Mus musculus: one gene and its partners. The protein of the gene in region 3 binds, or shares a complex with, the protein of the main gene of each other region. Links are inferred from orthologs where the notes say so. Each region holds a gene or a part of one and is shown on either strand. Other genes may lie near its edges. A codon is read from its position in the direction of its gene.

The links. Proteins that work in one complex are often made in the same cells at the same time.
Region 1: the proteins of Mapk14 (region 3) and Tab1 are in contact, whole or in part, in a crystal structure (PDB 4LOP), measured with the Mus musculus proteins. Residues at the interface, in NP_036081.1 of Mus musculus: Gly110, Ala111, Asn115, Ile116, Cys119, Gln120, Lys121, Leu122, Thr123, Asp124, Asp125, His126, Phe129, Val158, Asn159, Glu160, Asp161, Cys162, Leu217, Thr218, Gly219, Arg220, Thr221, Leu222, Asn272, Val273, Phe274, Ile275, Gly276, Ala277; in NP_079885.2 of Mus musculus: Val385 (codon at 1,730), Tyr386 (codon at 1,733), Pro387 (codon at 1,736), Val388 (codon at 1,739), Ser389 (codon at 1,742), Val390 (codon at 1,745), Pro391 (codon at 1,748), Tyr392 (codon at 1,751), Leu405 (codon at 1,790), Ser406 (codon at 1,793), Leu407 (codon at 1,796), Val408 (codon at 1,799), Met409 (codon at 1,802), Pro410 (codon at 1,805).
Region 2: Mapk14 (region 3) and Nod2 share a complex: the UniProt entries of both Homo sapiens proteins name them as parts of the signaling complex. The link is inferred for Mus musculus from reciprocal best matches to the Homo sapiens genes MAPK14 and NOD2.

The regions. Positions count from the first base shown.
Region 1 is NC_000081.6:80,157,030-80,159,763, forward strand, and holds part of Tab1 (TGF-beta-activated kinase 1 and MAP3K7-binding protein 1), read left to right. Parts: intron 1-574; coding exon 575-797; intron 798-1,721; coding exon 1,722-1,878; intron 1,879-2,734. UniProt on the Homo sapiens protein: Key adapter protein that plays an essential role in JNK and NF-kappa-B activation and proinflammatory cytokines production in response to stimulation with TLRs and cytokines.
Region 2 is NC_000074.6:88,664,231-88,667,933, forward strand, and holds part of Nod2 (nucleotide-binding oligomerization domain-containing protein 2), read left to right. Parts: coding exon 1-1,283; intron 1,284-3,703. UniProt on the Homo sapiens protein: Pattern recognition receptor (PRR) that detects bacterial peptidoglycan fragments and other danger signals and plays an important role in gastrointestinal immunity.
Region 3 is NC_000083.6:28,743,139-28,746,123, reverse strand, and holds part of Mapk14 (mitogen-activated protein kinase 14), read right to left. Parts: intron 1,142-2,985; coding exon 968-1,141; intron 1-967. UniProt on the Homo sapiens protein: Serine/threonine kinase which acts as an essential component of the MAP kinase signal transduction pathway.

The DNA of each region.
Region 1 (2,734 bases), on a different chromosome or scaffold from region 3:
TCCCCTTTGAGACAGGTTCTTACTATAAATGGCCTGGCACTTGCAGTGATCCCCCTGCCTCTGCCTCTTGAGTGTTGGGGTACAAGTATGTACCACCACACTTGGCTGATCCTTCAGTATGGGTTTGTTTTTGTTTCTCTCCCTTTTGGTCTTCACAGTAGAAGCATCTACTAGGTTCTAGAATATACCAGACAGGGCAGGCAGTTCCTACAAAATGCCCTGCATGTGGCACGGGTGTTTTATCCAGGGAAAAAGGCATAGCCACAGCCTCTACCCTGCGTTTCTTAGCAGTCCTGAGTAACCTTGTACCCGTGAGTTATGTAATTCCGGCGACAACCCACTTAGAGGTGTGGAAGCCGGTAGGGAGAGCACAAGGTCCCACACCTTTTCTAATCAGTGCGTTCCAGAAGGATTGTCCTGAACAGCTTGGAAAGCTCAGGTTGCAATTGACTGGCAGAGACTCCCTTCTCTTGCTGGGCTAGTGATCTCTAAGTCTCCTACACAGCCCCCTCCCACCTCACCTCCCACCCCCGATCACCCTGATTCCTCATCACGTCCTCCCTCCACACCCCAGGAGATTGCCGCGATGATTGACACCGAGTTTGCCAAGCAGACCTCCCTGGATGCGGTTGCCCAGGCTGTGGTAGACCGTGTAAAGCGGATCCACAGTGACACCTTTGCCAGTGGTGGGGAGCGTGCCAAGTTCTGCCCACGGCATGAAGACATGACCCTGCTGGTGAGGAACTTTGGCTATCCATTGGGTGAAATGAGCCAGCCTACACCGACCCCTGCCCCAGGTATGTATGCCACGTAGGTACACCTGAGATGAGTCCTGGGCTGGAGGCAACACGGACGGGCTGATACCATGAAGTTGGCTGCTTGGAGTGCGTATGGAGCCAGGGGGCTGGCCTTGCTCAACTCCAGCTGTAGAGTTCTGGACTCTGAGCTGCAGGTCTTTACTCTGTCTGTAAAATAAGGAGCACTTGTCCTGACCATCCTGGAAGTCTTGCTGCATGAGCATATCATGTACAGTCACAAAGGCAGATGGCAGAGGTCCCTCCTAGCCTCCTTGTCACTTCTCACCCTTACCAGCAACCTTGACAGAAAGGAGAAAGGCTCTAGCCTGGAGAGACCTGGGTGAGGTCAGGTATGAGACAGATGGTCTGCCCCAGCCGGGCATTGTGTGGAGATACTTCACTCCATCCCTTTTTCCTTTTAAGTCCTTGAGTCAAGCTGCCTGGGCAGCAGTGAGACCTTCTGTACTGCTCCCAAGCGCTGCATTTCCTTTTCTGTTTTTAAACAAACAAACTGTGGAGCTCTCACCTCCCATTGCTCTCCATGGACACTGGGGAGCTGGAGTCCCTCTGGCCTGCACTTGTAACCGTATTTTCATTGGGCCTGCCTCAACAGGAAACAGTCTACCCTCTGTATTAAGGTTTAGTAGCCCTTTCTCAGAGCCCATCCAGCACTTTATTCCACTCCCACCTTGATCCCCAGTGGGTTTCTTTGCTGGATAGAGGTCCCACTGCTATTCTGGAAGATACTCGTACCAAGGGACATCTACCCTGGGCCACCCCAGGGGTGGAGGGCCACAGTGGGGCTTAGGGGCCTCTCAGCCCTCACATAGCCCTTGTCACTCAAGAGAAGCCTTGAGGCCACTACCTTGGTTTCCTCCGACTGATTCCCCTCCCCCCCTGCTCTCTCTCTCTCTCCTATTGCAGGGGGCCGTGTGTACCCTGTTTCTGTGCCCTACTCAAGTGCCCAGAGCACCAGCAAGACTAGTGTGACTCTGTCCCTCGTCATGCCTTCTCAGGGCCAGATGGTCAACGGCTCTCACAGTGCCTCCACTCTGGACGAAGCCACTCCCACACTCACTAAGTAAGCCATCCTACTCTAGAGACAGACATGGGAACCTGGAGAGAAACAGCTGGGCAACCAAATCCTAGGGCTCAGTGGGGCAGGATGAGAGAGGCTGGGGTCTGGGGACTCTGGATCTTTGGCCTCCAATTCTCCACCCTCACCTTTTGGGTAGGGAGTCTTATTAGACACAGGTTCTAGCAGGTATTGAACTGGACCTGGGACAAGTGGAGATTCAGGGCAAGGTGGACAGGGGACCCGAGAAAGAAGCAAGGCAGCTGACTGACGTCTCAGCTTTCATCCATGGGCAGCTTCTCTCGTGTTTTTCTTCTGTCTTGGAGTTTGTAACCCAGGGCCACTGGCTTCATGCATCTGTAGTTGGGGACATTGCCTGGCCTGTACTGGGTTGTCAGAGCTGCTGCTCTCTCACTGTGGCATGCCATGGCTGTCAGCTGTCTAGTGTAAGGGGCACTGGGGGTGGAGGTCATGGCCTGAGAGGAGGGGCATGGTGCAGACCTGCCTGACAGGTCTCTTGTCCAACCGCTCCCTGTACTTCTGTGACTTTGTACTTTGCTCCCACCCCACCTCTCCGGGGGAGGGGGGGATCTGGTTTCCACATTCCAGCCCTGCACCGATGGAATAATACAGCTGCCACACCCAGCCCCTCTCCACTTAGAGCTTAGCCGGATGTGGCCAATTAGAAGGGCTGGCAGGGAGGGAGTGCCCCTGTTTTCCTCTGCCTCTCCCTCTGCCTCTTTAGAGGGCCTCCATCTGTCCCCAAGTCTGTGCTGCTGCTGTTCCTGCCACCACCTCTGTGGATGGAAGGGCCTGGTAGACATCTGGGCATCCTGGGTAGCCGTGTGCTGTCCCCAGCACA
Region 2 (3,703 bases), on a different chromosome or scaffold from region 3:
CACTGCTCTCCAATTGACCCCACGTCAGTCCAGACTCTGCTCTTCAACCTTCTCCAGGGGAACCTGCTGAAGAATGCCTGCAAGGTGCTGACCAGCCGTCCGGATGCTGTGTCAGCGCTCCTCAGGAAGTTCGTTCGCACAGAGTTGCAACTGAAGGGCTTCTCTGAAGAGGGCATCCAACTGTACCTGAGAAAGCACCACCGGGAACCTGGGGTGGCAGACCGCCTCATCCAGCTGATCCAAGCCACCTCAGCCCTGCATGGTTTGTGCCACCTCCCTGTCTTCTCTTGGATGGTGTCCAGATGCCACCGGGAACTTCTGCTGCAGAACAGGGGCTTCCCAACAACCAGCACGGACATGTACCTCCTGATCCTGCAGCATTTCCTGCTGCATGCCTCCCCTCCGGACTCCTCCCCACTCGGTCTGGGACCTGGACTCCTCCAAAGCCGGCTCTCCACCCTCCTGCACCTTGGCCACCTGGCTCTCCGGGGCCTGGCCATGAGCTGCTATGTGTTCTCAGCCCAGCAGCTCCAGGCAGCTCAGGTTGACTCTGATGATATTTCTCTTGGTTTCCTGGTACGTGCCCAAAGTAGTGTGCCCGGGAGCAAGGCGCCCCTGGAGTTCCTGCACATTACCTTCCAGTGCTTTTTTGCCGCTTTCTACTTGGCTGTCAGTGCTGACACATCGGTGGCCTCTCTCAAGCACCTTTTCAGCTGTGGCCGGCTGGGCAGCTCACTGCTGGGAAGGCTGCTGCCCAACCTGTGTATCCAGGGCTCCAGAGTCAAGAAGGGCAGCGAAGCAGCCCTGCTGCAGAAGGCTGAGCCACACAACCTGCAAATCACAGCAGCCTTCCTAGCAGGTCTGTTGTCCCAGCAGCATCGGGACCTGTTGGCTGCATGCCAGGTCTCCGAGAGGGTACTGCTCCAGCGTCAGGCACGTGCCCGCTCGTGTCTGGCCCACAGCCTCCGCGAGCACTTCCATTCCATCCCGCCTGCCGTGCCCGGTGAGACCAAGAGCATGCATGCTATGCCGGGCTTCATTTGGCTCATCCGTAGCCTGTACGAGATGCAGGAGGAGCAGTTGGCCCAGGAGGCTGTCCGTCGCTTGGACATCGGGCACCTGAAGTTGACATTTTGCAGAGTGGGCCCTGCAGAGTGTGCTGCACTGGCCTTTGTACTGCAACATCTCCAGCGGCCTGTGGCCCTACAGCTGGATTACAACTCTGTGGGAGATGTTGGAGTGGAACAGCTGCGACCGTGCCTTGGGGTCTGCACAGCTCTGTAGTGAGTGTGACAAGGTCTTGCCGATTGGGCCTGTGGCAAATGCTACTGTCAAGGCTGGACGTAGAAGCATAGAACACTGTTGGGACCCAGAAGTCTGGGTCCTATTCCACCTCTGCCACCCTTCATACAACACCAGCCAGACCCTTCCCTCTTCTGGGCCTTAGTTTCAGAACAAATAACTATAGCTATTGTCTTAGTTTGTTTTCCTTTGCTGTGATAGAATATTTTGACCAGAAGCAGCTTGAGGAGGAAAAAGTTTATTTTATTTCGCAGGGTACAGTCCATCATGAATGGAAGCAGGAGCGTAAAGAAGAAACAGTGGAGGGGTTCTGTTTACTGCCTTGCTTCTTCTGGCTTGCTCAGCTAGCTTTTTAGTACACACCAGGCCCACCTGTCTAGAGATGGTATCACAGTGGGCTGGGCCCTCTTCCATCAATGAACAATCAAGGAAATGACCCATAGACAAGCCCACGGGCCAGTCTGATGGAAGCAATTCCTCAATTAAGACTCCCTTGTCCCAGGTGTGTCAAGTTGACAACCAAGATTAGGCATCGCAGCCAGACTTGAAGTTTTGTGTTAGGCACTGTGCTATACTTTCTGAAATAACCCCATCCATCCCCACAACCATGCTGGGCTCAGCAGGGCTCTTAGCACCCCACGATTCTTTCCTTGAGGCTCACAGAAGTCAAGTAACTTGTCAGAATCATATGGGCAACAAGGGTGGTTTTCACAAAGCATGCCTTTCTGGTTTCAAGTCTCCTGTCTCTGGATGCGTTTCCACTGCTCTGGGGAATCCTTGAGGTCCCACACAAAGTTTTGTGTCTGTATTAAGGACCACTTCAAACCAGAAATAGTTTGAGCCCCATTTGAGTCTTTAAAATTTCATCATTATGGGACTTCCGTCACTTGAGATAAATCAGTTGGAGAACTTCCCATCACCCACATTGCTTTCTGTTCCATGGCTAAAAACATGAGGCTCTGCTCCTTGGAACATCTGTGGGCCTCTTTCCATGTCTGGGGTTGGGCAAAGGCAGAGAGTATACTCAGATCTGGTGACCAGCATGCCCCTCCCACAACCTCCCTTCTCACTTGTCAGTAAACAGGGTGGCCTGCTATTTATTTAGAGCCTATCAGAAAGAGGAAGTTGTACATTACAGTTAAGATCTAGAAACAGCCTCCTGGGGCTTTGGCTCTCCTTGCAGATAACCTTAATTGAACTTAACAAAAGGCAAGATTCCTGTCCGTATTAGGTGACTTATCTGCTCTAAGGTAAAGCCACAACACAGACACCTTTGTGCAACTGTGTGTTGACTTACCCTTGTACAGGGATGTGGTTGCAAGTTTATAACATAATATGGTGTGTTGTATATGCAGTTAATGTGTAGCTCTGTTGCACACAATAACTGTATAATAGAAATATGAATAGCTCCATCAGGGTCTTGAGGTAACAGATGCAGCCCTTAAGTTGGGAAATAGGGGGAAAGTCTATGGAAGGGACTGCAGAGTTGTGGGTGGGAATTAGGAAGGGCTCTAGGGAAAAGCCTGAAGCGAGAGAGGATTTGCTGGCTGAGAGGAAGACCCAGGGAGGAGCTTTAGGAAGGGATGCATCTGAGGTAAGAAGGCGCTTTTCCTCTGCCCCTTGCCTTTCCAGTGCTGTGCCTTCAGCTGGCTGAGCCTACCTGAGGTCACCTTAGGGTATCTGCCTCCTAGCACCTAGAGCCAAGAGAAGAGCATGAATTTGGCTAGGAAAATTAATGAACATGATCTGTACCATGCACCATGTCTCTGGGAACAGAGCTGCATGGGACCTTAATTGGGAACTTGGAGCCCTGGGTGTTGAAGCTGCTCTCCTGGCTAGTGGGCCAAGCCTTTTTTTTTTCAAGACACAGTTTCTCTGTATAGCCCTGGCTGTCCTGGAACTCACTCTGTAGACCAGGCTGGCCTTGAACTCAGAAATTCGCCTGCCTCTGCCTCCCAAGTGCTGGGATTAAAGGCATGCGCCACCACGCCTGGCAGGGCCACTCCTTTTAAACCACAACCTCAGAAGACCATATATACTGGCCTGGATGACCCTCAGAGCAAGTCATCTCTGGATTTTTATTTTTAAGTGGGGCTTCAGCTAACTCACACTGATCTCAAACTTAAGATCTTTCTGCCTCCCCCCATTCGTACCAGAGTTACAGATACAGTATACCAAGCTCAGCACCCATCCATCCCTGGAATTTTTAAATGGTCCTTTTTTTTTAATGATTAAGAACGTTCATATGATTCTGTGACATGATGGGACCAGAGGTCTGGGAGGCTGTGGGCCTGTCTGTTTTCAGAAAAAGGGAGTCCTGGCCTGGTGTCATGAAAAGTCGCTTGTTGAATTGGAGGTTCCTGGGCTGCAGTAATTCCTGTTCAGTAGGCTTGGGTGGGAA
Region 3 (2,985 bases):
ACACAGACAGAACTGTCTCCCCACTCCATCATGCACGGTGCTCCTTCTGAGTGCTCCCTGGAGCAGCACTGCACTCTGCACACAACGAGGCAGTCCTAACTGCAGAACTGACCTTGTGCTTTATGAAGGAGTATGACTGGGGGTGGAGATGTGGCTCCATTCCTGGCAGTCCCTAACTAGGCCAAAAGTAAGCTATAAAAAACTCCTGTCCTAGTTCTGTGCTGAAATACGCCAGACCCTCTTTATCCTGAAAAGATGCTGTAAACGTAAAACCGCCAAGCACCTCAAAGCTCTGTCAGTTTGAAGGCTCTGCACTCTGTGTCTGCAGCCCATCAGGGAACATACGCATCAGAGACCCTGGCAGTGAGCTCAGAAAGCTGCTGGCAACCATCCACGAGGGTTTTATTCAGACAGGTTCTCATGTAGCCCAGGATAGCCTCAAACTACCTACACAGCTGTGAATAACTTTACAGCCTGGTTTTTTTTTGTTTGTTTGTTTGTTTTGAGACAGGGTTTCTCTATGTAGCCCTGGCTATCCTGGAACTCACTCTGTAGACCAGGCTGGTCTCGAACTCATAAATCTACCTGCCTCTGCCTCCCCAGTGCTGGAATTAAAGGCGTGCGTCACCAATGCCCGGCTTCAGTCTGTTTTTTTTTTTAACCTTAAACTTTTAATCTGATTCCCAAGTGCTGGGATCATAGGTATGTTGGAAATATGTGTGAGTCCTAGGTCCAATCTCCAGCACTGTTAAAAAATATTACATAAACGGGACTTGGTAGCACATGCTTTTAATCTCAGCACTCGGAAGGCACAGACAGATGGATCTCTGAGTTTAAGGCTAGCCTGATCTACAAAGTGAGTTCCTCTGAGTGGCTACACAGAGAAAAACCCTGGCTCAGAAAACAAACAAAACATGAATAAAATGAAAGCAAGCTCAAAGCCCACGCTAGCCTGCCCTGGACTCACTCTTCCACTCATCTATGAGAAGGTCCCTGCTTTCAAAGGACTGGTCATAAGGGTCAGCAACAGGCTCATCATCAGGGTCGTGGTACTGAGCAAAGTAGGCATGCGCAAGAGCTTGGGCTGCTGTGATCCTCTTATCTGAGTCCAAAACGAGCATCTTCTCCAGTAGGTCGACAGCTGTCACACCAGAAAAGAGGAAAACACATGACATCAGTGCCACCACTGTGCAAGTTCCAAGCACCTTTCACATCCACACAAAGCATCCTTTAAGGTGTCTGCTTCTGCATGTAACCCCTTCCCTCCATGTACGCATTGAATGCCTATGGCACATTTTAAAAACATTACTGAGGTTCTGGGTTTGAAACCCAGAATAATAAACAAACACCCCCTCCTACCCCCCAGCTCTCCTTCTCCATCCACCTTGGTTTTCATTTGTGGACACTGCAGGTGTGGCACACCACCATGGAGGCTTCCTTCCCCTCTCCTTATGCTGTGTGCACTCTCTCCCATTTCTCTCTAGTCTTTACATTTACCACCTCAATTGTTGGTAAGAGTGAAATTAGGCATACTGGGTGAGACCATGCCACAGGTGATGCTGTGACCTGGGGCACCACAGCCAGGAGCTCCATTTATGCTGAGCTAAGGTGGTTGGCATCTTGAGCTCTTCCCCGTTTCTCCCCAAGTGAATAATATGGGGAGATGGTTTGTCTCCTGGTGATTATCAGTTACTTTCAATAATGGCTTCCAGGTTTTTTCTCTCCCAAAAGTAAAACAGAAATAAACTCCACAAGTTTTTAGATTTAAGGTTTTTTTTTCTGTTTGTTTTTCGAGACAGTGTTTCCCTGTGTAGCCCTGGCTGTCTTGGAACTCACTCTGTAGACCAGGCTGGCCTCGAACTCAGAAATCCGCCTGCCTCTGCCTCCTGAGTGCTGGGACTAAAGGCGTGCGCCACCACGCCCAGCTAGATTTAAGTTTTAAGTATGTCTCCACTACAGTGCATGCCTGCTGGCTGAAAATCTAAAAGCCAGCAGAGGGCGCTGGATCCTCTGTAAGTGTAATTAAAGACAGTTGTGAGGCATCCTGTTGGTGCAGGGACTCAGACCAAGGGCCCCGTTGGCCATCTCTACAGCTCCAGATGATTTCTTCAGCGTGGAAGGCTCCATGGGTGTCGAGGAGAACTTCCTGAAGAGATGCTATACCTCTGCTCCTCTGAGTGATTATGTACCCTGTAGCCTGAACACCAGTTATCCACAGAAACGCAGGCTTTGAGGGTACAGAGGAAACAGCAAACATGCATACGCTGGCTCTCCAGTTTTAGAGTGCTGGAGGAGGGCTGGGATATAGCCAGTAAAGTTTGCAAAGTGTGCATAAGGCCTTGGATCTAAACCTAGCACTGCAGACAGTGAGCATGGTGGCACAACAGGCCACATGACTCTGTCTTCAACACTGAAGCACTGGTGGACTTCCTGGATACAAATCCTCACGTTCTACAAATCCGCTGACTTTATACTGAACATGAATGAGTGGGTGCCTGCTACCCTGGGGTAAAAAGAGGTCCACGTCCTCAGGATCAAAGCACTTAGATGAGGAACAAGGTCAGAAGTAAGAACAAGACTTTTCAAGTATGGAGGCAGACATAAATAGACACTCTAAGATCAAAGGGCAATGTGAAGTTCTCAGCTGTGTCTTGAGGCTAGCAGTGATGCGAAGCCTGTGACCGACAACAGGGCTGTTAATATTTATATCGCTGGTGTGCAGCCTGTTGGGGACGGCTAGGCTAGCAATCGGTAACAGCATGTTCCTTCTGACCAGCACTTGGCAATGGGCTGCCAGGCACGTTTGGATGTGAGCAGGCTGTGAAGAGCACCAGATGGGCCAGAGCCTCCTTTTAGTCTCCAGCAGCCTGGATTCACTCCTGTAAGGCAGCTCTTCTCAGTGTCTAAATGGGGATCTCTACCAGCTCCATCAGAGAAGACTCAGACACTGTGTACCGCACATCTGCTGGTGAGGATTCAGGGGTG